Saccharomyces cerevisiae S288C: one gene and its partners. Changing the gene in region 4 together with the main gene of any one other region gives a genetic interaction. Each region holds a gene or a part of one and is shown on either strand. Other genes may lie near its edges. The genes, in order: PET100, EFM1, AZR1 and THI72.

Evidence for each region.
Region 1: mutations in THI72 (region 4) and PET100 together harm fitness more than expected from each alone (negative genetic interaction), as found in Saccharomyces cerevisiae (one large-scale study listed by BioGRID).
Region 2: mutations in THI72 (region 4) and EFM1 together harm fitness more than expected from each alone (negative genetic interaction), as found in Saccharomyces cerevisiae (one large-scale study listed by BioGRID).
Region 3: mutations in THI72 (region 4) and AZR1 together harm fitness more than expected from each alone (negative genetic interaction), as found in Saccharomyces cerevisiae (one large-scale study listed by BioGRID).

What each region holds. Positions count from the first base shown.
Region 1 is NC_001136.10:597,589-603,949, forward strand, and holds PET100 (Pet100p), read left to right. Parts: upstream 1-5,475; coding exon 5,476-5,811; downstream 5,812-6,361. Other genes in the region: phosphoprotein phosphatase PP4 catalytic subunit PPH3, read left to right, coding at 1-494; putative DNA-dependent ATPase RAD55, read left to right, coding at 880-2,100; SED1 (Sed1p), read left to right, coding at 3,205-4,221; SHU2 (Shu2p), read right to left, coding at 4,610-5,281; TFIIH complex subunit TFB5, read right to left, coding at 6,005-6,223. UniProt on the Saccharomyces cerevisiae protein: Required for the biogenesis of cytochrome c oxidase. Probably for its assembly into an active holoenzyme.
Region 2 is NC_001140.6:17,307-26,400, reverse strand, and holds EFM1 (protein-lysine N-methyltransferase), read right to left. Parts: upstream 4,619-9,094; coding exon 2,861-4,618; downstream 1-2,860. Other genes in the region: MUP3 (Mup3p), read right to left, coding at 1-160; YHL037C (uncharacterized protein), read left to right, coding at 222-623; CBP2 (Cbp2p), read left to right, coding at 892-2,784; ARN1 (siderophore transporter), read left to right, coding at 5,430-7,313; YHL041W (uncharacterized protein), read right to left, coding at 8,560-9,009. UniProt on the Saccharomyces cerevisiae protein: S-adenosyl-L-methionine-dependent protein-lysine N-methyltransferase that monomethylates elongation factor 1-alpha (TEF1/TEF2) at 'Lys-30'.
Region 3 is NC_001139.9:941,107-945,147, reverse strand, and holds AZR1 (azole transporter), read right to left. Parts: upstream 2,343-4,041; coding exon 501-2,342; downstream 1-500. Other genes in the region: AMA1 (Ama1p), read right to left, coding at 1-3; phosphatidylinositol-3,5-bisphosphate binding protein HSV2, read left to right, coding at 2,933-4,041. UniProt on the Saccharomyces cerevisiae protein: Transporter protein required for adaptation to high stress imposed by low-chain organic acids, in particular by acetic acid, and for resistance to azoles, especially to ketoconazole and fluconazole.
Region 4 is NC_001147.6:696,403-705,559, forward strand, and holds THI72 (thiamine transporter), read right to left. Parts: upstream 4,166-9,157; coding exon 2,366-4,165; downstream 1-2,365. Other genes in the region: translocase ULS1, read left to right, coding at 1-932; YOR192C-C (uncharacterized protein), read right to left, coding at 7,586-7,822. UniProt on the Saccharomyces cerevisiae protein: Low affinity thiamine transporter responsible for intake of thiamine. It is possible that the primary function is the uptake of closely related compounds and that thiamine transport is a secondary activity of these proteins.

The DNA of each region.
Region 1 (6,361 bases), on a different chromosome or scaffold from region 4:
ATTATTTATCATTGGGGGCAATAATAAACAATAGCATATTCTGTGTTCATGGTGGATTATCTCCGGATATGACCACGGTTGATGAAATACGAACAATAGACAGGAAACAAGAAGTTCCACATGAAGGTGCTATGTGTGACTTATTATGGAGCGACCCCGAAGACGTTGACACATGGTCATTATCACCAAGAGGTGCTGGATTTCTTTTCGGTAAAAGAGAAGTTGATCAATTCTTAGAGAAAAACAACGTTGAGTTAATTGCTAGAGCTCATCAGTTAGTGATGGAAGGTTACAAAGAAATGTTCGACGGTGGATTAGTGACAGTCTGGTCGGCACCGAATTACTGTTATCGTTGTGGTAATGTAGCAGCTGTATTGAAGATAGACGACGATTTGAATCGTGAATATACAATTTTTGAAGCTGTTCAGGCACAAAATGAAGTCGGAAATGCTATAATTCCAACCAAAAAATCTCAAATGGACTATTTCTTATAAATTTTTAACAGGCACTCTAATTGTCAAGTGCATTTTTCTTTTTTTCTTCATAATGCAATAAAGGAAAAAAAATTGTAATATTACATACTTCTTTTCACATCTTAGCTAATTAACAATATGGCTTTTGAATACTAATATATACCCAGCTACCGTTTCTTCTTTTATTTTTTATTCCTTTTTTTCTTCAGTAGAATATGTTATAGATGCGGAGGTCCCCTAAGTTCTTCACGTGTTCTCTTCTCATCGCGTTTGATATGAAAAATAGAAAAAAATACATAGTAGCATGACTAACTAATAATAAGCTCCGCTATCAAAGATGTCAAGTACATTAAGGAAAGCTTTTAGATAAGGAAAAGAACTTATTAATAATATATAATATGAAAATATGTCGCTTGGTATACCACTTTCCCAATTAATAGTAGAAAGTCCAAAGCCATTAAGTAGCGGCATCACAGGATTAGATGAGATATTAAACCTGGGATTCCAGGCAAGGTCGATCTACGAAATATTTGGGCCTCCGGGCATTGGCAAGACTAATTTTGGCATTCAATTGGTGTGTAATTCGTTAGAAGGCATACAACAATCGGAAATAAACGACGATAAAATTCTATGGATAGAAACATTTCAAGAAATGCCCATAAACATACTAAGAGAACGCTTTCAAAAATTTAAAATCGTGGAAGAAAATGTGAAGCGGGTCCGAATAACGAAATTTGGACAGCTATTATATTTCTTCCAGAATTTGTTCAAATTATCTCAAAGTGTGCGATATAAACTAGTTATAATTGATGGATTTTCTCAATTAGTCTGCGATCATCTGTGTACACTAAGTAAAAGAGGCGGCGGAATGATAGATAAAACTATACACGAGTTAAAATGTCGACATTTGATATTAATTTTTACGGTAATGACCAAATACACACATTCCACGGGTTCGACAATAATAGTTTTAAATGACTGTATGAACACCGCCTTCCAATCAAACGAATTCGAATCCTTGGAAGAATACTACGAAATTTTAGACGACGGATCTAACTTCTTTGTCAACTCTAACAACGAAAGGCGTAAGAACAATGTACATATATTGAAAAGCGCGCTCGTTGCCAATATCGCTATGGGAAGCAAGGATTCCACTTGGGAAGTATTTCTAAGAGACAGGATCGGCCTTTTTAGGGATTGGAATGAACAAGTGGACGAAACCGTTTTCGTGAAAAGCAAAAGAGTGAAGGCGTCATCCTCGCAGAGTAACGAGGGATGTACTACCATCAAAGAAATGAGAATAAACAAACGAAACTTTGAAAACTTGAGAATAGCTATTGTTTTTAATTTACACGGCGAAGATAGAAAAAGAGAAGGACGAAATTTAAAGCGGTCAAGAAGCAGCGACGATCGTAACTATATTGTCAAATTTGATTTTGATAAAGCAACAGGTCAACTCCGCGATATAATTGATCTGAAACCTGATACTGCTAATATTGCCTCATTTCCAACATTATCAACAAGCAGCAGCAGTTGCTCACAAGTGTTTAACAATATTGACTCCAATGATAATCCATTACCAAATGCGGAGGGAAAGGAGGAGATAATTTATGATAGTGAAGGTTAATAGTAAAATAAAAAAACCGAAAACCGAAAACAATAAAAAATGGAAAAACGACAACATTCCACCCAACAACTACAAAGAAAAGTTAAGGGTAATTTTACCTATTTAGGATTTTAATCTGTTGGAGTTAAGGTGAATACGTTTTTCCATATTGGGGTATGCAGCTCGAACCTAAAGTGGTATGTACACATCCCCTCAAGCACACCCATTACCCTTATAGGATTAATGTAAGCAACAGCTTACACGGAATTGGAAATACTATTCAACGATCCATGCATCTGCCAGATTCGGACATGCATATTCCCCAATTGGATATAGAAAATTAACGTAAGGCAGTATCTTTTCACAATGTACTTGCAACGCGGCGACTTAAAGTTGAAGTACAACCTGCAGCAGCGGCTTTTTGTACGGTACGCCAAACTGTCAATGGATAATATTGCGTAGACCGAAAAAGGTAATCCTCAACACTACCCGTGGTGGATGACCTAAAGCAGTAATATTGGTTGGAATTATCTCCCAGACGGCACCGTCTCCCCGAGAAAGCTTAGCCCCGAGGTCTACCTTCCATACACCACTGATTGCTCCACGTCATGCGGCCTTCTTTCGAGGACAAAAAGGCATATATCGCTAAAATTAGCCATCAGAACCGTTATTGTTATTATATTTTCATTACGAAAGAGGAGAGGGCCCAGCGCGCCAGAGCACACACGGTCATTGATTACTTTATTTGGCTAAAGATCCATCCCTTCTCGATGTCATCTCTTTCCATTCTTGTGTATTTTTGATTGAAAATGATTTTTTGTCCACTAATTTCTAAAAATAAGACAAAAAGCCTTTAAGCAGTTTTTCATCCATTTTACTACGGTAAAATGAATTAGTACGGTATGGCTCCCAGTCGCATTATTTTTAGATTGGCCGTAGGGGCTGGGGTAGAACTAGAGTAAGGAACATTGCTCTGCCCTCTTTTGAACTGTCATATAAATACCTGACCTATTTTATTCTCCATTATCGTATTATCTCACCTCTCTTTTTCTATTCTCTTGTAATTATTGATTTATAGTCGTAACTACAAAGACAAGCAAAATAAAATACGTTCGCTCTATTAAGATGAAATTATCAACTGTCCTATTATCTGCCGGTTTAGCCTCGACTACTTTGGCCCAATTTTCCAACAGTACATCTGCTTCTTCCACCGATGTCACTTCCTCCTCTTCCATCTCCACTTCCTCTGGCTCAGTAACTATCACATCTTCTGAAGCTCCAGAATCCGACAACGGTACCAGCACAGCTGCACCAACTGAAACCTCAACAGAGGCTCCAACCACTGCTATCCCAACTAACGGTACCTCTACTGAAGCTCCAACCACTGCTATCCCAACTAACGGTACCTCTACTGAAGCTCCAACTGATACTACTACTGAAGCTCCAACCACCGCTCTTCCAACTAACGGTACTTCTACTGAAGCTCCAACTGATACTACTACTGAAGCTCCAACCACCGGTCTTCCAACCAACGGTACCACTTCAGCTTTCCCACCAACTACATCTTTGCCACCAAGCAACACTACCACCACTCCTCCTTACAACCCATCTACTGACTACACCACTGACTACACTGTAGTCACTGAATATACTACTTACTGTCCAGAACCAACCACTTTCACCACAAACGGTAAGACTTACACCGTCACTGAACCAACCACATTGACTATCACTGACTGTCCATGCACCATTGAAAAGCCAACAACCACATCAACCACCGAATACACTGTAGTCACTGAGTACACTACTTACTGTCCAGAACCAACCACTTTCACCACAAACGGTAAGACTTACACCGTCACTGAACCAACCACTTTGACTATCACTGACTGTCCATGTACTATTGAAAAGAGCGAAGCCCCTGAGTCTTCTGTCCCAGTTACCGAATCTAAGGGCACTACCACCAAAGAAACAGGTGTTACTACCAAACAAACCACAGCCAACCCAAGTCTAACCGTCTCCACAGTCGTCCCAGTTTCATCCTCTGCTTCTTCTCATTCCGTTGTCATCAACAGTAACGGTGCTAACGTCGTCGTTCCAGGTGCTTTAGGTTTGGCTGGTGTTGCTATGTTATTCTTATAAACGGTGGTGTTTGACACATCCGCCTTCTTAATGCTTTCTTTCAGTATTATGTTATTTTTTTGTTATTCGTTTTTCACTTCTAGGCTTTTTGACAGACTAGCCCCGTTATACCACCATCTTTGTGGGAAAGCCCCTAAATTGCCCTGAGCAGTATCGTTTCATGTCTAGTCTCTTTAAAGATGTTTCTTACGCGTTGCGTGTAAAACATCCTCTCATTCAAGACAGGGTTTTCTAAAAGCAATAGGGGTAGTTTAATAATTCTTATATAATCATCATATACACTATTTTTAGTTCTTAATTCTTTAATACAAACTTATTAATGTGCTCTCCATTGATCTCTTAATCAGGAGGCGATATATACCGGAAGCGGTGTACTTTTCTTCACCTCTTACTCAACTATGTTGATGTGCAAGTTTAACCACTCGTCGATATTATCTATTGCTATAACGAAAACTTTATTCGAGTTCACAGTGAAAAACTTCAGCACATTTATGGAAGATCTAAGCAAAATGGAGAACGCCAGTAGATGCGAACAACAAACTTTATCAAATTTGAAATACCACTGCTTTGATAAGCTATGAGGATCCAGCTGTGCAAACCTATCATCCGAAAATTGCAAATGATCATCAACTTCATTTATTAGCACATCGTGTAATTCTTCTTTTTCGTCAGTTTTTTCTAGTGCTTCATGAAAGTATTTACAAAACTCTTCACATGAGCAGAACCAGTGTGCGATATCTACGAGTATTGGTGGCGCTCCATCATTAGTATCCTTCACTATTAAGCGATACTCCAGGAGCGAATTAGATGAACCCTTATAAAATTCATCAACTAACACATCAATCAATGATGTATGCTCATTACCTTCCTTGTTATGGACTCTATCTAATATGTATATAAACATGTCTGAAGATTCTAGTAATGAAATTGCTCGAATAAATAGTTCCCTTGGAAACATATAATATAAGAAGGATGCTATTGTATCATCCAGTTTTGTATCATCGTTTGTGTTAACCAGTTTAGCAAATAATTTAGAGTATTCTATTACATCCTTCGACATACTCACCCTTGTGACTTGTTCTTTTCTCCCTATTTCTTCTTCATCACCAACACTTTTGCTTTACCGGCTTGACCTTAAATGGTTATTTTTTCCCGTATAATTCCAATATATCAGCGCATCTTGCTGATATTTTCTGTTCTATAACAATTTAATAAGGGCTGACAAACAAAAGTAATCACTTCGACAAGTACAAAATGGGTCTATTTAATAACTTCAAGTTTAAATATACAAGGGCGCAACTGGAGATCTTTAGATTTTCATTTTGTTTGCTAGCACCTGTTGCTGTAATGTACTATATTGGTACAGATACTGATAAAAAATTAAATGTTCCAGGGTTTTGGCCAGATCCTGCAACGTTGAACCAAATACCAAAAGAGCCTTATGAGATTAAAGCTGAACTGGCAAGGATGAAAAAAGAACGTTTAGAGAAAAGGCTTAGGTTGGAGAAAAAGATACAAGAGGAGTTTGGTTTAGACCTTGAGGAGGAAAAAGAAAAAATTAAACGGGATTTGGCTCTCAAAAAAGGATGAGAAAAGAAAACGGTTAAAGATGTATACTTGCACCTGACCACTTTTTCTTCCTTATATTTATTATTCTAACATGTACATACCTGTATAGTCGTATTTCCACTAGATCATCACTTCCCCTCTATATTCATGTCTGACCTGGTTATGCAGGTCATGCTCTATTCAAATAGTATTGAAAAAGCTGAATGAGCAATAATTACTGATTTTCTTCTTCATCCATAGGATTATATATATTCTTAGATAATAGCCTATTTAGCTCATGCTTAACAAATTCGACTTTCGAGGGATTTACTAAAAGATGGGTGTCATCCAACTCCTCTAGTACTATATCACTCATCTTGGCGTCAATTTGTAATATGAGCGCCTTGATGGATGGATCACATTGAACCAGTGCACCCTTTCTTGCTCTAGCCATTTTTTCGTTCTTTTACAAAAGTATCTTGGCTTTGTCTCTATTGGGAGTACACTTCTATCTTACTGCAGTTTGCTCGTCTTTTTTCAATAATACGATACAAAAGAAAAATTAAAAGGGCTATTGAGACTGTTGTAAAAT
Region 2 (9,094 bases), on a different chromosome or scaffold from region 4:
CCGTCTCTGCCTTTATCGCCTGCGCTTCCACAGTATCCATCGAACTGAATGATCCAGTATTTGTGGAACCATATTTTGTGGTAATATCACCAACTTCCACATCTATGAAAACATCTTGAGAGGGATTTGCTTTCCCACTATTAAAAAGCAGCGGTTCCATTTTTACTTATTTTGAGCACTGTACGTCTACGTTGCCCTCAGCAACTTAGACTACAAACAGAATGTACAGATCATCGATAAGCATCCAGGTCTTTATATGTGTATTGTTTTTGCCCCTTGACTCAGGCAGGCCTCTAATCTATATGATTGATTTGTCATATATATGCAGCGACGCCACAGTTTTTTCCGGCAAGAGTCGCGTGATCTTTTTTTCTAATCCAATCTGTGAACATACTAGAGGAAACTTCTACCTTTTCTACCTGAATTACATTATCAACACTTTTGCACCAAAAAATCGTGGTACTAGGAGATGCAAACCTTTTGGTCTCCACATCAATTGCAGGAAAAAGATTGACTGTTTGCATGTGCAATTATCTTATATATTATGTAAAAATAAAAGTAGGAAACGCCACATGGATGCGCATGCCATAACCCTTGCATGGTTAGCACACGCCCTCACGTGAGTGAATTTGCCAAAATGATAGTCAAATGTGTTGATAGTTCGATAAGAGGTGAAGTTGGGGAACTAAAGGTGGAATAGAAAATGATAAAACAAAGGAAAGAGTGAAGATTGCCGCCGAGTAGAATCCAAGATTGGTGTGTATGGGTGTATTTAGTGAAAGTTCAATTGCATTGAAGATGACAAATTATGCTTAAGTGAATGGACAATGAAGGCTTCTCTTGAAGGAGTAAGGCTGCGCTGAAGGAAAGGTTTGAGACAGAGTGACCAAAATGGTGAATTGGCAAACATTGTTCATGGTCTCATTGAGGAGACAGGGCAGTTCCTCTCGTTACAGGTATAAGTTCAACATGGAGAATATCACACATCAGGTGTTCCCTCGCTGTAAGCAAGCGTTTAAGAAGACAAACTTATCTTATGAATATTGTGATCTTGAAGGAGTACTGTATAATATTTCACTCACGGACTTGCAAAAACTGCTATTACGTGATATAAACGCCCCTCGCGAACACGCATTCAAGATTGTTAGAACAGATCTAACTCAAAAATCCTCGAAGAAGAGGATCCAACACTGGGAACGGATTGCGCCTATGTTTGACCACCCCTTAAGTCTCTACGAGAAGTTGTTCAGCGAAATGGATGAGGACTTCAAGCCATCTTTCGAGTGGCAACAATTAATAAGGGTACGATGCAAAGATGATAAGTTGAAACTGCAGCGTGTAATTTGGCCTAAGTCGATATTTTCAAACTTTTGTCGGGGAATCGGGGTTAAGAAGAGCACTTACGATAGACTCTTGGAACAAAATAATGGTGAGGTACCCATGTTTGTAAACCCAGCTAATGCAAAGCCCTTGCCTCTTTTCCAGGTTTCCGATGAGGCGATGATTGGGGAATTCGATGGAATTGGTATTTTCCCTTACTTTGTAGATAAACATAGAGAATTTTTCGTTACTGAGGTAGACAAATTGAAGACCAAGATAGCTTCGCCACTTTGCACCTTGAATGAACGAAAGCGCATTGAGAAGGCTAACGCTGGTCGGATACTGGCGAACGAAGAGGGTAAACCATTCTATCTGGATGCAAACAGTGCCACAACTCGAATCGCTGGTGGTAATGTCGTCACTTTGAAGCAACTTTTAGAAAGATCGGTTAGCCATAAGACATTGTGGAGCAAACAATCAAACAAAGACAGAACGTGCCCTGGAGACATTTTAAGAGCTACAATATTATCAAACGACTTCTCCATCCGGCAATTGAGGGCTGAATTTTGCAAAAATTTCATTCTCTACAATATATTCACCATTTTACAACGTAACAAGAAAAGCATCCGTTCCTTCTCTGGTAACGATAATGCGCCTTCCTTTCAATTTAGTTGGAATGTTTGGGACTCATATATATGGAAGCAATATCAAGAGACCGAGTCCATGAAAATACCCACGGACCAAGCTTCTCTGATCAACTACAAGACAAAATACGACTCTTTTCTTCATGACCTACAAACATATTCCGCACTGGTAATTTCAGAAATGAAATGGAACCAATTCTCTATTTTCCAAAATGATGAAACGACTTTATCAAGATTTGAACACATCACATTAATTTTGCAAACCGTGCTGACAAAATCGAAAATGATTAGAATTTTCCAGCCAAACTTGTACAAGTTTATGCAAGATGATTTAAGACCAACTTTAATGGAGTTGGTGGGTTTCACTGAGTCAATAAATGCAACAATAGAACCTGGTTTTGCGAATGAACAATCGCTACAATCTGCAAACGGATTAAAGAAATTGGCCAACCAACTTTTATACTTCGAACAGGAAATATATGGCGAAAAGTTCCGCGTAAATAGGCCCATCCAGCTTCGTCCAATAACATTATCAGCAAACTACAAAATTGTTATTCTGGATAAGAAGAACGCCATACCCGAAATATTTCAAACCCTACTGAAATTCATGACACAAATAACGACATATTTTGTTAAAGATTTGTCGGAGGTAGAACTTCATGGGCACATGCATTGTATTGATAAAAAAATGCTGGACAAGTCGAAATTCATGTATTTATACGAAGAGAAAAGCAACGAGGAAGTGAAAGCAGCTTCTCCTCAAAAGGAGAAGATAGTAGATAATATCATTGGCCTATTATCAAATGATGAAGAACATTAACATGAATTGGAAAAAGAAAAAATTGCATGTAAATATATACATACGTAGAATTTTATACTTAGGCTACAGATCAAAGCTAAATCTGTAAGTCGTATGCCTTCTTCATTAGAAATATAGGCTCTTTATTTGATTTCCTGATCCAAACCAATCTATCAATCGCAGTATCTGCCACAATGAACTGTCTTATGCCCCAATCACCGACACTATAAATTTCTGGAATTCTCTCCGATAAATTAGGGAAGTATTTTTTATAGAACGGCAAAAACTCCATAACATCTTCTTTTTCAATGACAATTGAATCACTAACTTCTTTGAAGGTTTGTTTAATGAAACCTCCCTGATTATTACTTTTATCGTTGATTAATTTGACTATCCAGAGCAACAATGCGTCATTAAGACAGTCTTTTGTGATCAAATCTTCGTAATTTATAGCACCAAATACCAGTAAGAGAGAATTGGCAAATATTTTGTCGTTTTTAAAAATTGTCTTGAATGACAGAGAAAACTCCTTATTATTGCTATATATTTTTTTTTGTAAAACGGACAATTTCTCAGTAGTGGCGTTCAGAATTTTTTTGTTATCTTGATAGTATAGTTTGATTAGTTTAATAACATGAGGGCGTAATTTTTGAGTCGAAGAAGTTTTAATTTTAAAATTCTTATAAAACAGCAATCTCTGGGATACTACAGATGTTAATTGATCAATACCTTCCAATACGCTCCTTACGGTTGGAGTTTCTTCAGACTTTAATTTACTTAGGTAGGCAAATAACGCTAGTAGAACCGGTGGTAATGGTTCAGAAATTTTTAAACTAAATTGTAAAATGGTAGTTTCTCCATCGTCAGTAACAAAATTACCTGATTTGTTAAAATCCACGGGCAAACCGCTAACTAAGGTGGATGGTAGCTTTAAAGTCAACCTAGAGAAGTCAAACTTATTCGAGGAATCCCAAAACCCGTAGTTTAACAAACATTTTTCATTAGAAATATTACCATAATTATTAAACAATTCATCCTGTGCACTAAATGTGGTAGTCTGCGACATGAAACAAAGTTCATTTTGTTCATTCATCTCCCATCTTACTGGTACATCGTTTTTATGGTTTAATAAATCTACTATTGGATACAAAAATCCTTCGTTCAGATTGGTGCGGTCTGTACCGGCCCTGCCTAAAATGACACGAGGAAATGCCCTAGAATTAAAGATGCAGTACGACCAAAGATACGCCACGAACGAGTTCCATTCCGAATCTTCTAGTTTACATCCATTGATGTGTGCGCAGAACTGTTCCAACGGCACTACGGCAGAGTCTTTATTCTCCTGGAATAAAGACAAGAACTGCTTATCTTGAGAAGAGTGTTCAATAGATAAAGCTTGGAACAGCATCCTCCACTCCTTTACTAGTTTGTTCAGCGTATCTCTCATAGTTAAGTACACGTCTGTACCATGCAAATTCATGACTTCATCAGTAGACCAAAAATATGGTTGTGGAAGGTGCAAGGGTAGCACATCTAAATATGGTTTGTAAAAGGATTTCAGGTGAACTGCATCGGTGCCAAATTTCAACTTTGACAAGTACAACTGTGTCACGGAATTCAAAAGACTCCTTTCATTAGCAGCCTGGGAAAATTCTGATAAAGCTTGCTGGGAAGTGATCAGCAGAGTTTCGGGTACCCTAATCAAAGCTTGGTCGGGTTTGGGAGAGAATTTTTCGTTTACAAATGCACTAACACCAGCATCCTCTGTAATCCTAAAAGAGATTTTCGGATCGATGAAGGCTCCATTATTTTGAGCCCATTGTAAGCAGTTATCTAGCTCAGTTTGGGTGATCATGCAGAAGTTCGTTAATTAAATGACGAGGTAGCTTCACCAAGCTTGATTCCTTAGTCTTTTTTACTTCCATCATTTCTTCTTTGTTGGAATGGTCAAGTTCAAGTTGAAAAATTTTCTTTTTCATAGTCAACTCATCGCAGGCACATTCGCCTTGAACGAACAACGAGCAGGACTCCAATAGAATAATAGTAATAGATTACAGGCCTATACAATCAAGACAACTATCAAGGTGGGGAGGGTTTCCACCTGTAACTTCCGCTGACTAATGATACATATTATCTGATCGGAAGCCAATGAAAGATCCCCTAAATATCACGCATGTAAGCGACCGCGATGAAGCGTACTGGCAGCTCTATCACGAAGCGATGGAAAAATACACCTGCGAATGAAAATCCATCAACAGAAATGAGAAGACAATTGTATATTATCATTAACGTTCATCTTTAGGACTTGTTCTCTTACGAAATTTGTGTGCCTGTATTTGTTAGAAAGCCACATATGTCTTGGCCTTTTTCACTTCTTTCCTGTTTGGGATTGCAAATTTATCAAAATGCACCCATAAAAGCAGGTGTGATATAACAAGCACATATCGTTAGGAAAATAGTGTCAAAGAGAAAAAAAGGCCAAGCAAATCGGAGTACAGTTTACATGAAGTAATGCAAGATGCATAGAACTGAAGATTTCAGGAATAATTGTATATAGGGGAGGAAACATTCGATAGCTCTCTTTTTGCTTTCGTTCACTATATCTCTTGTTTTCTTTCTTAAAAATATATGGACAGTAGTTCAAGCCACTGCATAGCAACGTACTAATGGAGTCTGTTCACTCTCGCGATCCTGTTAAGGAGGAAAAGAAACATGTCTTCATGGGAATGGAACACGAGTTGAATCCTGAGACTCATAACGATTCCAACTCCGACTCATATGGTCTCCCTCAGTTATCTGAAAAATACAATGCCTTGAGACAGAACAGGAGCCTAATTATCCAGCAGACTGAAATCATTGGCTCTGCTTACAATAAATGGTACTTACAAGCGATTTTACTTTTGAGTGCTTTCATATGTGGCTACGGTTATGGACTGGACGGTAACATCCGTTATATTTACACTGGTTACGCCACATCATCCTATAGTGAGCATTCTCTGCTGTCTACAATCAACGTCATTAATGCTGTGGTCAGTGCCGCTTCGCAAATCATATACGCTAGGTTGTCTGATGTGTTTGGTAGACTATACCTTTTCATTAGTGCTGTCATCCTATATGTTGTGGGTACAATTATTCAATCACAAGCTTATGATGTTCAAAGATACGCTGCAGGTGCCATTTTCTACAATGCTGGCTATGTGGGTGTAATCCTTATTCTTTTGATTATCCTATCCGATTTTTCATCTTTAAAGTGGAGACTGCTGTATCAATTTGTCCCGACTTGGCCTTTTATCATCAACACATGGATTGCTGGTAATATCACTTCCAGAGCCAATCCTGTTGTCAACTGGTCTTGGGATGTAGGTATGTGGGCTTTCATCTTTCCCCTATCATGTGTTCCAATCGTTTTGTGTATGTTGCACATGCAATGGAGGGCCAGAAAGACTCCTGAATGGCACGCTTTGAAGGGCCAGAAGTCCTATTATCAAGAACATGGTTTTATTAAGATCTTAAAGCAATTATTTTGGATGTTAGATGTCGTTGGTGTCCTTTTGATGGGTTGTTCCCTAGGTTGTATCTTGGTCCCACTGACCTTGGCTGGTGGGGTCAAAACTACCTGGAATGATTCAAGATTGATCGGCCCCTTTGTTCTTGGCTTTGTTTTGATCCCTATCTTATGGATTTGGGAATATCGATTCGCTAGAGATCCAATTCTTCCATATAGGCTGGTCAAAGATAGGGCTGTATGGTCTTCTATGGGTATTTCTTTCCTGATTGATTTTATTTACTATATGGCCGCTGATTATTTGTACACGGTTATGATTGTTGCCGTCAATGAATCCGTTAAATCTGCAACCAGAATTGCCACATTATCTTCATTTGTCTCTACTGTGGCCTCTCCATTTTTCGCTTTACTTGTAACAAGATGTACGAGATTGAAACCATTCATAATGTTTGGATGCGCGCTATGGATGGTGGCTATGGGTTTATTGTACCACTTTAGAGGTGGAAGTCAGTCCCATTCAGGTATTATTGGTGCATTATGTGTCTGGGGTGTGGGCACTACTTTGTTCACTTACCCAGTTACCGTCTCTGTACAATCTGCCGTCTCTCATGAAAACATGGCGACAGTTACAGCTTTAAACTATACCCTCTATAGAATTGGTTCTGCTGTCGGTTCCGCAGTTTCCGGTGCCATTTGGACTCAGACTTTGTACAAACAAATTTTGAAGAGAATGGGTGATGTTGCTCTAGCCACAACTGCCTACGAATCTCCATATACTTTCATTGAAACCTATACTTGGGGTACCCCACAAAGGAATGCCTTAATGAACGCTTACAAATACGTTCAAAGATTGGAAACTATCGTGGCTTTAGTATTTTGTGTTCCATTAATTGCATTCTCCTTATGTCTAAGGGATCCTAAATTGACTGATACTGTTGCTGTGGAATACATCGAGGATGGCGAATATGTCGACACGAAAGACAATGATCCAATTTTGGATTGGTTTGAAAAACTTCCATCAAAATTCACTTTTAAACGGGAATAAGTTGATGTTTACGTTGCATGATTGCTTGATATCACTTTCCATGACTATATTGCCCAAAATATACGGTGTCACCTCCTACTTTTTCCTCTCTACAAGACTCTACCATTCTAATGATCATAACCAAGAAAAGAAAAGATCAGAAATGTCTAGTTCTTTGCATATTCCTTTTACCATAACAGTATATGCATATCTACATGTATAGTGCGGCACTACTTAATATTACGTAACAGAGTAATATCTTTACTTCTTTTGTTCTGCCTGTTTATAACATCGATTGGCCAGTTGTCTCAGCACTTGCTTCATAACAAGTGAAAAATTAGAGGCGTTGAATAATTATGTACCTTGACTTTGAAGTCGGTTATCATAAGTGCTTCGAGAAGAGATATAAAGACAAGATAAAGTGTTATGTCAACTATGGTGAAAAAGGAAGGGAAGACAGGCGGTCGCTGAATCTTAAATCCACTCGCCTTTTTTTCTTTGTTTTTCCTTGGCAAGCCTATCCTTCCAGTCGGCTAAGCCCCATTCCATTCAGCTTGTAAAGAGATAGTATGATTTACTTGTAGTCTGGGATGACAAGAGTAGAATACTCGCAGTGATCACGGTTTGCTGCGTGTGTTCACTAATTATGATGTAATCACCGAGCAAACGCATCAATGCTTTCGAAAAAGAAAAAAAAGTAGCTAAATGTAGACAAGGTTGAACCATAAACGGTATTCACATTGGCTGACGTCGCGCTTTCCTTATTTGTAAAACAGAGAAAAGGGCTGATAATACGCTAAACGAAGGCAAGAAAATATCCTGTAATAGAAGTAATTTACATCGTTTAACATGAATGGCGAGGCGTAACCATCACGTCACTGGCACCTTTTCCATAAGCCCATAATGTTTATTTGTGCCTTTAGAAACTTTCCCCTTGAGTCCAACGTTATAACGTGCCCTCGTAAAAAGAAAATCTTGTAAATAACTCTTTTACAACATACTAGGGCTACTGCCAATAATAATAATATCCAGCTGTTTGTCATCCCAAGGCAACTATAAAATTTTTTTCTTGTGGCCTTTACTTTTTTTCAATATCGAGGAAATCGCAGCAGGTTTCCAAATGCAGGCAAAAACTTAATAACTTCGTCTTCCAAAAACAGAGAGCGAGAATTAGAAATAACCCTTTTCTTTCTATATTTGGAAAATACTCTGGTATTCTCCGGTTTATCTACTGTAAAAAAGGGGGTCCGGTATCTTGATATCTCGTTTATTTGCCATATGAGGATAATGTTCTGAATGTGGTTCTCATATTGCAGAAACGATAGACCGCATTAGGATGTAATAATGCATCAATTTCCTTTTCATCGATCGATCTTTGTGTTAAGAACGACATTAATAAATTATTTCCCATTTTGGAAGGAAGAGGGTAGTGAAACAGTAAAATATTCTGCGGCAGTTTCTCTAGAACGGAAGAAACCTCAAACATTGTAACTATAATTTTTTGCTTGGCTAAGAACATTGCGTAGGAAGCGATGAACAGCGGAGTTTTTATTTTATGCCCGCAAAAAAAAAAATGTTTCCAAAAACTTTTCCAGCCAACATAGATTATTCTGCACAAGCAACTAGTAAAATGAATAGAGAGATGCAAAAATGGCAATAAAATATGCCTTAGAAAACGCAGTATTGTTGTTGACTTGGCTATGCTATACAAATGCATTCTACTGCGCCCCTCTACTTGTAGAAATAAATTATTTTCTCTATATTGCCTGAACTTACTATTTTTGCCTTTCTTTGATCATATT
Region 3 (4,041 bases), on a different chromosome or scaffold from region 4:
CATATTTTTTTCTTTTTTTCTGATCCAAAGTTTTGTAAAACTTTAAAAGAGTTATATAAGCAAGTATTATTATCGTTGGAGGAAGAAAATTTGACCTTCCTTCAACTTTTGATTTTTTATTTTTTTGTTTCCAAGGATTAAAGTGTTCTTTGAGTACTAATCGTTCATCATTTTATTTTATTTTTGGCGCCTTAAAAATGGAACAAGGCAGACGCCGAAAAATACAAAAACAAAAGTCGAAATAAAAAGGGAAACTTCTATTGAAGGTGACATAGAGGCATTGACGCTCTTGCTATATGAACGTCGTTTATCATACCAGTATAAAAATCTAAATTAACTATTTAATAGCTGTACTCATACTGTCTCGGATTACCCTCTTACTGTTATCGTTAGTTGTGGTACACAATTCAGCAAGCTAAACAGCCAATTACTAAAAGTCATGTTTATTTTTTCTGCAGCTTTACACTTTGAGGCTCGCCACCTTCTAAATCGTGCTTAACTTATCTCAGGCTTGCTGTGACTTTCTTATTTGAAGCAAAAACAGCAAAAATGAGAGATAATGCATAAAATCCTAATGCCATGTAAAAGACGTCAGTGAGAGATTCAGAAATTATATTGCCCAATTTGGAATGAGAGCCATCGAAATTGGTCTGCCTATAGATTACCAGATTGTCTACCGTGGTACCATCTGGGAGCTGAATATTAGCCTTGGTTAATTTCTTGATAGCAGCAGCACTGAAAACAGTGTTAGAGATGACACCTCCCAGTGCTTGACCTAGATTTTTGCAAAATGTGTTAAAAGTGGTAATAGAGACAAAATCTGATCGAAAAGTTGGGCTCTTCTTGTCTAACTGAATTTGAGAAGCGAGCATGGAACTTTGTGCCAAACCACCGAAAGCAACGCCAGGTAATATCAAAAGGCCGATGTGAGCAGAGTTATTGGCATTATTGTTCAATAGGGTTAATATACCCGCACCAACAACACCAAAAATGCTTGAAATAACAATAATCGGTTTGATTTGGCGGGTTTTGTCGGTGATAGCACCGCAAAGTATTGCTGTAACGACTGTAGAAATAATGCAAGCAACCAGGTGTACAGCGGCTCTCCAGGCGGAATCATTGTAAATTAATTGGAAGTATTGCACAATATACGTAAACTGACTGATATATCCTGCACAAGTGAGAAACAAGGCTATATTAACCGTGAAAATACCTGGTTTCTTGATATTTGTCCATGACATTAATGGTTGGTAATGTGGTGTTGCTTTCACTATATTAAATTTGGGGAAGACAAGGAAATCATAGATACCTGCTAACACTACCAGGACTATACCGATGATGAAAAGAATAATGATGGATGCAGAGTTCCAAGCATACCGGTTACCGCCAAATGTGAAAGCCAATAGAATACATGTGAATCCAGCTGAACAAAACACAAACTCGATAATATCATACATGAAAATCAATTCCATGAACGGCTTTCTCCACCCATTAAGTTTGCTAAACCCTTTGATTTTCAATAAATGATATGCTACATTCCGAACAATTTCGATAAACTGTGATGGAAATTTGCGGATGTTATCCATTGTCTCTTGAAATGTACTTAAACCTGGGTTATAAAAGAACAGGAATAAGAAAAATGCTAGGCCACCGATCGGTAAATTAACATAGAAGCACCATCTCCATGTGACGCTGGAGGTGAAAACTCCTCCAAGGAAAGGCCCAACAACAGATGCAATAGCAAACGAACAACTCAAAACAGCAATTAGTATGCCTCTCTGCGACTCCTCTACCAGGGTTGAACCAATGACGAACGATAAACTTTGAATACCACAACCGCCGACTCCAGCAATAACTCTACCACCAATGAGCATACTCATTGAATTTGCTAAAGCAGAGATCAGCGACCCGATTTCAAAAATGACAATAGCAAATAGCATGGTCTCCTTGAATCCGATAGGTGTGGCAATTCTTCCCCATATCAACGCCAACAGAGCGTTTGGTAAGCTATACCCGGTAAATAACCACCCGATCTCAGAGTACGATCCAAACTGTTTAGCTACTTCTTCAATGATTGTAGAAACTATCATGATATCCAAGGCTGCCAGAAACAGCGACAAAGCCAATGCTATCAAAGATGCGTACAAGATAAACCCTTTAGGTAGTTCATTACTTTCGCTGGCGTTGTCCTCGAGCACCACGCTCACGTTTTGTTTTGATGTTGACTGCGTAGAATTTCGTCTCACAACATATTGTTTTTGCTGTTTCTCGTTCTGTTGTTGTGCTTTCTCACCGTAGTATGAGAGGTCGCTCATGCTGTAAGTCTTAGGTTCGCCTTTCATTGGGCTGCAATTTAGATACTAATGTAGACGTGGTGTTACTACAATTGTAGAAGAAAAGATACAAGATTTAAAGGACGTTGCAAGAGGGTACGGAAACTCTAGCATTATATATAATCAATTGATACAGTGCCGATTCTTTGATATAAGACATTTTTCTTTAAATTAATGTAGTGGTTCTGCTTGACACTTTTTATTGTATTTCCAGCCATAGCATATAGAAGCGCGGAAATACAGCGGATATCCGCTAGTTGGCGGAAATAATGCAAATTGGTAAGATCCTATGGTAACAGTGCAAGAAAGGGGCCTGAGTTAAAAAGAGAAAATGAGCCTATCCTAATGATGATAGCCAGGTTCATATTAACGTTGTTTACCTTTGTGTTCAAGATCAGGGGCTTTTGGCAGTATCTGAGCGAAATGAAATAAAGAAATTGATAATCACGTGATCACGGCTTTCTGGCTTGTAAAGCCGGTTATATTTATTTACCTTAGTAATACGTACTGCGGGGGCTATTGTTAAAGGGAAGAGAAACCAGAAGATCTGGAAAGGCAGCGATTATTAGAGGACAACTATAAGCATACATAACTAGCAGATGGATGTTCGTCGACCTATAAGGGAGGCAGTCAACAACAGGAGGAAACCAAAATTTTTGAGCGTTTCGTTTAACCAAGATGATTCGTGTTTCAGCGTGGCGTTAGAGAATGGATTTCGTATTTTCAATACAGATCCATTGACTAGTAAGCTATCGAAAACATTTAAAGAGTCTGCGACCAACCAATCCAGGGGCACTGGGATTGGCTATACCAGGATGCTTTATCGTACGAATTACATCGCACTAGTCGGAGGTGGTAAACGACCAAGGCATGCTCTAAATAAACTGATCATCTGGGATGATCTTTTGCAAAAGGAAACGATTACTTTGAAGTTTATGTCTTCCATTAAAGACGTGTTTTTATCTAGGATTCATATTGTGGTAGTCCTGGAGAACACAATAGAGATCTTCCAATTTCAAACCAATCCTCAAAGAATTTGTCCTATTTTGGATATCCCTCCCAATGGATCAGTGGACTATGTCGTTTGTAGCAGCAAACATCTCCAGTCGCAAGCATCGCAGTCACAGTCTAAAATCTTAGAAATCATTGCATTCCCATCGAATAAATGCGTAGGCCAAATTCAAGTAGCCGACCTATCACAAATAAAATATAATTCACAAAACCCGAAGGAATCAGCGCTTTTGCCCACTTCCATCATTAAAGCACATAAAAATCCCATCAAACTGGTTAGACTGAACCGTCAAGGCACCATGGTAGCAACATGTTCCGTCCAGGGTACACTTATAAGAATCTTCAGTACGCATAACGGTACTTTAATCAAAGAATTTAGAAGAGGGGTGGACAAGGCGGATATTTACGAGATGAGTTTCAGCCCCAATGGTAGTAAGTTGGCCGTATTGTCAAATAAGCAAACATTGCATATTTTCCAAATTTTTGAAACAACCAATACAGAAACGAATACACCAGACCACTCTCGTGCCAATGGTTCGAGCCATCCCTTGAAAAATTATATACCGAAGGGCCTATGGAGGCCCAAGTATTTGGACTCTGTGTGGTCGATATGCAATGCTCACTTAAAGAACCCAATCTTTGACGCTCACAGAAATGACAACAGTGGTGATGTAACTCACGATAACGAGTTCTATAA
Region 4 (9,157 bases):
TCACTCACATGAGCGGAGAAGCGCAGGCTCAGGTTATTACTTCAATGAATTCTATGACATGTTTCTGGTGCATGGAACAATTAGAACCAGAAGCGATGTCCGTTCTGACAGGTTGTGGTCATTTGATTTGCGACACTTGTATCGAGCCCTTCATCGAAGAGTCATCCATGCTACCTCAGGCCAAGAAAACCAAAGGTGGGGCATTTGCTATCCCATGCAAAGATTGTCAACGTTTGACAAACGAGAAAGATATTGTTTCGCACAAGTTATACGACCAGGTAATAAACCAGGGATTTACTGAGGAAGATTTGCATGCAGAGTATTTAAGTGAAATGGAGAAACAAAAAATACAGCAAAAAAATGTATATGTGCCAAATTTTGAGAGTTTAGAACCATCTACGAAGATAGAGCAATGTATACAGGTTATTCAAAGAGTTTTTGATGAATCAGCAACCGAAAAAATTATTATTTTTTCCCAGTTTACAACATTTTTTGAGATTCTCGAACATTTTCTCAAAAATAAACTGAATTTTCCCTACTTGAAATATATTGGATCAATGAACGCTCAGAGAAGATCAGATGTTATCAACGAATTTTATCGTGACCCTGAGAAAAGGATACTTCTGATTTCCATGAAAGCCGGTAACTCAGGACTAACATTGACATGTGCGAACCATGTAGTTATAGTTGATCCATTTTGGAATCCTTACGTCGAAGAACAAGCTCAAGACCGTTGCTATAGAATTAGTCAAACAAAAAAAGTCCAGGTGCATAAATTGTTTATAAAGGACTCTGTTGAGGATCGTATTTCTGAATTACAGAAGAGAAAGAAGGAAATGGTCGATTCTGCCATGGACCCAGGCAAGATAAAGGAAGTGAATAGTTTAGGGCGTCGGGAGTTAGGATTTTTATTTGGTTTAAACGCTCTTTGAAGAACTTGGTGAATTTTGAAGCATTATTGCGATACACATATGTATATGTTGATAATTGGTGGCTAAGCTTCTAGTTTGTAGGCTTAAGTAACTTCACTCGTTGGCACTTACGAGCTTGGCATTTAATGGAACAGAAAATAAGCCGTAAATCGGCCCTACTTTAAGTATAAGAAATATGCGAAATTTGATATGATCGTTTGAATTACTTTTTGAAAAAGAAAATACCATTAGTAACATACAATATAAGAAGCTCGTCTCCTGGATTTGGAAATCCACAAAAGATTATCAACAATGCCACGAATAACATAATTGCTTCCCCCTCCTGTTAATTGCTTTAACTCATTATTGCATCGTTAACAGTTGTTACTAAATTTGATTTTTGTTTCTCATCATATATGTAATCTTCAAACGCCAGTATAATTATACGCTCGCAACAGCTACCATACATTAATGAACCGATGAAAATATCCCGTTTGATGATAACTGGCAATTAAATGACAGTATTAATTAATAATCAAAGCTGATCTTATATTCCTATAAAAGAGAAGCGTATAAAACACACGTGGATTGGGGGTGCTTTATACGTAAACTGTGATTTCAGTAATTTTCGCTGTAAGATCAAAGTAAAGACACATTCCCTTATATGTAAAGTTCAAATTCATTGTTCCACTAATAGACCGTCAACTTTTCTTTTGGATTTTCAGCCCGAACAGGTTGCTTATTATTAACTTCCTTACAACAAGGTACAGTCAGTGCATTATATAGATCTATACAACCATGTGCCTTTGTGTTTTCTAAGGCTATACTGAAAATAAATTGGTAATTTATAATTTCTATCTTCACGCGCTTTCTCACTAACAAGACTTGACCTCTCAAATAAGTGGCGCAGATGCTCTAGAAAAGGTTTCTTATCAAATAAGTTTTGCTCTTTAATCGCACAATGCAATGCAAGTTATTTTTTTTTTTTTGATTTAATGACTTTCGATTTCCTCTCATAGGCAACCGGTACTTATCATAAGTACGTAATAAGAAAAGTATGTCGCAGGACGTCATAAGCTCAGACTTGAACAAAAGAGTAACAAAATCGCCTCCACCTAATTTTCAGCCCTACTAGAGCCTGATAGGATATCGGCACTGAAGCTGATAAGAGAATCAATGAAAATATCATCCTCAACAGAAATACTGAAAAGAAGCGGTAGTTTTTTTTTCTTGTTACAATTATCAGCCAAACAAAAACAGTGATCTGAATCGTCAATCAAACATTAGTGGAAGAATGAAATAATCGAAATGACCTCTATATCCTGTACGACCAACAAGCTTAATAGTAGTGTTTCCTGGGACTAAAGAGTGTGTTTAATTATCTCGAATTTTAATACTAGCGAAAGATCTTGAATGAACACTAAGTATGATCATTTTATTAGGTTTTTTGCTCATTAGGCAATTTGTTTTTCACTGGAAGTAGAGGATTCCTTTTCATTATCTTTCTGATGAACAATTTCAAACACTTTTGTGTTTTCTGAACTAGTTTTTGTCAACTCAGGTAGTTCATCATCGGAGCTCTCAGGTTTGTATTCGTGTCCACTTGTGAAGCATTCGCCTAATGTGTAAGCACGGATTTCTTCTTCAGAAATTTCACTGTATGGAACCATGCCCTTCTTCCTTGCTTCTTCGTCGGTAAACGCACCGTAGTAATCTTTGTCATCATGTTTGACAGTAATTTTGAATGGGAAGAGGAGGCATAGTCCCCAATAGACGAAAAAGGAAATCAAAAAGGAGAAGAAAGAATCACCATAGAAAAAATTTATAATACCAGTGTTGTGGAAATAGTCATTATTGACTTCCCAAGCGATACCAGGTAGACCGGGAGCCATACCACACACCCAGGCAACGATAGCTCTCCAGTTGACACCCTTGGTAAAATAGTATTCACCCTTTAGAACAAAGGCATTGGTAACGGAGTATTGTCTCTTCCTGATGAGGAAATTATCACAGATCATGACAGTGATAATAGGTGTCATTACGACACCGAAAGAGCTCATAACAGTCAAGAAAGTAGAAGAAGAGTTGTAAAAGTTCCATGGCAAACAGGCCCAGGAGACGCATGCGGCAAAAATAGCACCTCTCTTAATATCAACATATTTCGGTAATAAACCAGCCAAATCCATACCACTGGCAAACCCACAGTTGGAGATGGTATATGAAATTTGAGACATTACAAAACAAAAACCACAGAAGAATGTAGCTGCACGCGCGCCTGCAGAATAGTTAGTTGTCAACCAGTTGTCAAAGATGTCCATAGGCATCCAAAATGTTTGACCGTATAATTTTTCACAAGCAGAAGCACCAATGATACCGAATACTGGGATCAAGGTTGCTGGTATTAGTAAAGCAACTATAGTACCAGTCCAGATAGCGCAATTAGAGGAACCAAATCTGGAGAAGTCACTTTGATTGGTACAGCCTGGAGAAACAGAACCGTACCAGTACGAGATCGTATAAACCCAAGCCCAAGCCTTTTTAGAGCCAGTAACTGTGGAATGAGTAGAAGTGAACAAGTCACCAACACCATGTGCGCTCTTAGTTAAGTAAATTACCATACCCAACATGGCGAAGAAAGTACCAACACACGACCAAATTAAAATATAGTTCATATGGTATGGCTTCATAAAGTAACAGAACGCGGTAAGGATATGGAAGATAATGAAGCCGATCAATTCCTTGGTGGTCATGGCAACTTTCGAGGACAAAGTATTGGGCAGATGCAAATAGTGGTGAGACCAAGAATCTAATATCATGTTTACACAAAGCCCACCTAACCAAGCGTTGGAACCATAATAGACAATACTCATCAATATTCTGATAATGATACCAAGAGCTGAACCGTAAATCCCAAAGACGAATCTTTGAGCTAGAGTGAAGCCGACCTTCCAGTCATAGCCAGGACAAGAGTTGGCTAAAGCAAACAGGATGGTCAACAAATCAGCAATAATAAACGCACCGATGGTCTCTGAGTAACTTAACCCAACAGTTAATGCAGACGAACCGCCTATCCACATACCAACGTTGAAGGACAGAACACCCCAATACGCAAAATTAGACCAAAACCCCCACGTTTGATTAACAGACTTGATAGGTTGCAAATCAGGGTTCCTTAAAAAATTCACGGAGGCCCTATTTTTAACAGGAATTTCCAAAAATCTCAAAGCCCTGGAGATTCTCGTACCGAAACTCATAATGGTGTAATGCTAGAGTTTTTTTTGCTTGATAGTATATCAGATATGAGAGCAATAGATGATGATACAAGTTCTACAGTGGAAAATAACATGGTACACGCTCTTGGCAACATTGAAATTACAGCTCTCATATATAAAAAATGGAAAGAAAAAAGAGAAGAAAAAAGAGAAGAAATGAATTCTATTATGATAGCGAATGCAAAATATTCGTCCACATTCTTTTATCTATTGTCTTCCTTCTTTCTGTGCAACTACCAGAAAAAGCTATTTCATCTAGTCGAGTAGACTAATTAATGAATTATCTCGTCTTCCATATAAATTAATAAGGCAACCAGCAGGAGACGCCTATTGTTAAGCGTATTACGAAACCTGCGGATCTGTGCGCTATTGTTATGCCAGTGAAGGAGCCTGTCATCATGCACTCATGTGCCCGCGCGCGCGCTTCTGTGACTACAACTTATTGTAGGGCGTAGTACACTGACGCCTAGCGCTCAAAATACACATATGCAGTGTGGCCGACTATGCGATGAAGCGGAACAGTCTATCTTATGTGAATGGTTGCAAAATGCCGTTATATGGATACTACGGTGCGAACACGTATTTATAATAGGATAATCTTGTATCTATTCGTTTTATGCTACTAGTTCTAACCTTTAGGAAGTGTCCTTCACAATATCAGCCCTACATGCAGTGGTCTTCGTAAATCCTGTGAGGTTTTGTCTCATTTCTCTATGCTGGAAGGGCTTCGTAGAAGATTCCGCAAAATAATGGAATTGAAGCCCTGCGCCAAGCAAGCCTCACGAGGATCGTCGGTTCTGAGACGTAACCACGCTCTTGAATCTTGTTTATGTGATCAGCAATGACGTCTTCGGTGGTAATACCATTTCATTCCGGAAAAGATGAGTTTGTAGTCGGTTAGGGAGTACCGTGGCGTCCTTTCCTATTTCTGCAAATTTGCTGTCCATGTTGGCAACTACTCTCAAAGGTGGCAACTGCTTAGTAAATAGCCATATCGCTCAGAGATACATATCAAGAAACTCTAGCCAGATGATCACGAATCCCGAAGCGATGTAATTTTCCGTGAGGCAGTCCTGAATCAGGCCGTAGATTGACTATTAGCATCTCTTTTTGAGTATGCTAAGAAGTAGAGGGCTACCTTATTCCCACACACTTTTTACCACGGGCGAAACATTTATTTTCAAGTCCCAGCACAGTGATGGGATGAAGTCCAGGATGCGTCATACGGTCCTATGGCAAACTTCGGGGAAGGTTTAATATGCTGCTTTCAAGCAGGATTAACGGTAATCAACTCCCTAGGCAAATTGGCTCAACTCTGCCTATCTATCCACTGAGGATTTCAAATCCACCGAATGGGAGAATATGTCAGTGTCCATTTTGGAGTAAGGTATGAGTTCTTTTTTCGTCAGCTTTTCTTCTATATCTTACAATTGCTTATCTTAAACCACCGATATTTTTGCAGTCCCTTCATCATCGAGCACAATGGCCTATACGTTGAAATTTTGGTTTTGGTTTGAAGCCCACTCATCTTGGCATCGCTGACGTGTTTTCTTCCAAGATTTAAAGAGGACTACTCGGTGCAGGTGGACATCTCGAATGAATATGTTACCTAGCTTGATCTCCTCCATCAAATTACAACCTTTTTGCAGTGAATTTTGATACATGGATTTCGGAGCTTAAACACGTATTAACTGAAATTCAGGCATGGCGAGAAAATTCCCATCAGAACTTGAAGAATACTCTAAATACTACTGAGATAAACCGAGAGGTGACGTGAAATTCTTCCCAGATGTTCAATATATTATGAAAAACCATCCAGCTGAATTACCTCATTTGCAGATCAATTTCAAAGGCTTCGGTTCGGGGATAATGAGACATTCTGTCCAAAATGTCCCATTTATTACAGCCTCGGAATTAAGGTGCTTGATACTGTTCTCATAAACATGTGACTGCATTGGTGGTTGATGGAGTAATGATACCACTGAGCGGTTTCAAATGCTAAAAGTCTTTTGAAGCTATCACAGTTACCCTCGGATTTGGCAGTCTAATTCAAGTGCCGTAGATACCGTGGCATTGAAATATTCGAGGCAGTTATTAGCAATGCTCAAGAGGATATTATGCGGAGTGCTACCCTATTTGCATTTTTATGATGTCATTGACGATGCGAGAAAGTCTAACATGATTAGATTGGCACCTGCACATTATATATTGCGTTTCTGAACTTGTACATTGTAATGAATGTGTTTAGGAAACCGATGAGTAAATCATAAACCAAGGTGGGATCTCATTATCAATTTTTTTTTCATATCAGTTACAATAAATATAACTTGAATAATTTTTCAATGATTGTCGAATTTCTAAAACATTCACACATTCTGAGAATAATAGAGCAAGGTTTTCGAAGATACAAACCCCATTAGCACCCTAATTTGTTGTACTTGTGTTTTTTCACCACTAGCACATCGTTTTACGATTCTTGAAAGGCTAGATGGAATAGTGCAGAGCCCAAAGGATAATATCCATAGTTAAACAGCCGTTCTTTGCGACCTGAATGATTGCTTACTTTGATTTTGTTGCATTACAGGCTTTGGTAATAGCAAAGTTTGTCGCCAAATCTGTTTTACCGTTAGAAAAGCTACTTCTCTTCAAGACGTCATTCTCAGCTTGACCTACAGAATGCTACTTATCCAACATATCACGTAAAATCTAAGATATACTATATGATAGAAGCGCAGATTACCGGATCTAAAATAATTGTCTGGGTATTTATTCATGTGGGTTATTTATCCAAGCAAGAATTTGACCCAACGTGCTCTATCTTGTTTGATTCACTAAGGTTTCTACTGTGAATTCTACGAATTTTGTGATAATGGTAGGGTTTCCATTCTTTTCAAAGGCTGTAATATTAGGTATACAGAATATACTAGAAATTCTCCTCCAGGATATAGAAATCCCCAAAATGGAATCGGTAGTTCAACAAATAATATTACGATTATTTCTCAATCTTTATGCCATCTTCTTTCACCGCATGTAATAGTATACTAGTAACACTAATACTATTTAACAGATGACATTTTAGAGTTGGAGGAGAACTTCTAGTATATTCTGTATATATAATATTATAGCCTTTATCAAAAATGGAATCCAAACAATTATCTCAAAATTCACCAATATCTTACGTTGATTCTGTTGGAACGAGAGTAATTAATAGTGACATGAGTTGCTATGGTAACAATCTAATGCTTACATCGTATATTAATGTACACCTCGTATACGTTTAAGTGTGATTGTGCCTATTGCAGAAGGAATGTTAAACGAGAAGCTCAGACCATACTGAAGCTGTGTTAAAGACCTATTAGTTGAACATGATATGGTAGGTACATATATGAGGAATATGAGTCGTCACATCAATGTATAGTAACTACCGGAATCACTATTATATTGGTCATGATTAATATGACCAATCGGCGTGTGTTTTTGAAAAGTGGGTGAATTTTGAGATAATTGTTGGGATTCCATTTTTAATAAGGCAATAATATTAGGTATGTAGAATGTACTAGAAGTTCTCCTCAAGGATTTAGGAATCCATGAAAGGGAATCTGCAATTCTACACAATTCTATAAATATTATTATCATCATTTTATATGTTAATATTCATTGATCCTATTACATTATCAATCCTTGCGTTTCAGCTTCCACTAATTTAGATGACTATTTCTCATCATTTGCGTCATCTTCTAACACCGTATATGATAATATACTAGTAACGTAAATACTAGTTAGTAGATGATAGTTGATTTTTATTCCAACATACCACCCATAATGTAATAGATCTAATGAATCCATTTGTTAGTTAATAGTTTAAATGTTTTTATCGGAAGAGGTTTTGTCATCACATCAGCAATGTTCTTATTGGTCTCGATGTAGTATACGTATAAATTATTACCTGATACTTCATCTCTAAGTCTCATTGCCTTCGTGCCAAAAAATCTGTTTCTAAATTTCTCTTCATTTGTAGACTTAATTATACTGATCGTTGATCTACTATCAGTAAGTAAGCCTTTAATAATTGGTTTCTTGTTAAGTTCTTGCACAAGGTGACTGAGGTTATTCAATAGCGGTATAGCTTCACTGACTGCGTGTATTTCTGCTTCTGTAGTTGAAGTGCATGTTAACGAAGCCTTTGTCGACTTTCCTCCAATCACTTTTCCGTTGAGTAGGAAAATGTTACCAATTTGTGACTTGTAATATGGTTGGTTACCATATGAAGCATCGCTTATTGCGACTAGTTTATTATCTGGCTTGGTAGGTTTGTTTTTGTGCCATATTAATTGTTTATCTCTAGTGTCCCACATGAATTGTATTAACTCATATGTCATGTCTAAAACTTGCCTAGAGGGGAATAGTATATGTTGAGCAAGTGTGTTGATGTAGTATAGTAAGTCAAATCTAAATTTATATCCAACATATGAAGCTAGACCAATCAACTTTTGCATTTCATGCACTTTCTCTTTGTATTCATCTTCATCTATTTCTAGTTCATCCTGGTCTATATAATGACCTGGTTGACCTGGAGCTCTAAGTTTCTTTCCTTTTGGGTTCAAAGGTACGTTTAGTTTGGGTAATTTTTCTGTCAAGGATTTTTCCATACCTAATTTCATGTACTTGCTTCTTTGATATTTGATCTCTAATCCAAGTATGTCGTACTGAATTTCGTTATCACCTTCACCCAGATTTATTATCTTTGTATCGTATTGTTTCTTGAGTGTTGTTATGATTTTCTTATTTGCATTTAAGTCTTTGCTAAATAAAATCATGTCGTCAACGAATAAGCAAATTGTTACTTGACTATTCTTAAATACGCATGACCATCCGCGAACTTCTTGCATGTCGCAACAATTTATTAAATATGATTTAATGGTTTCATACCAGTTTGCACCACTTTGTTTCAAACCATAGAGTGATTTTCTCAAA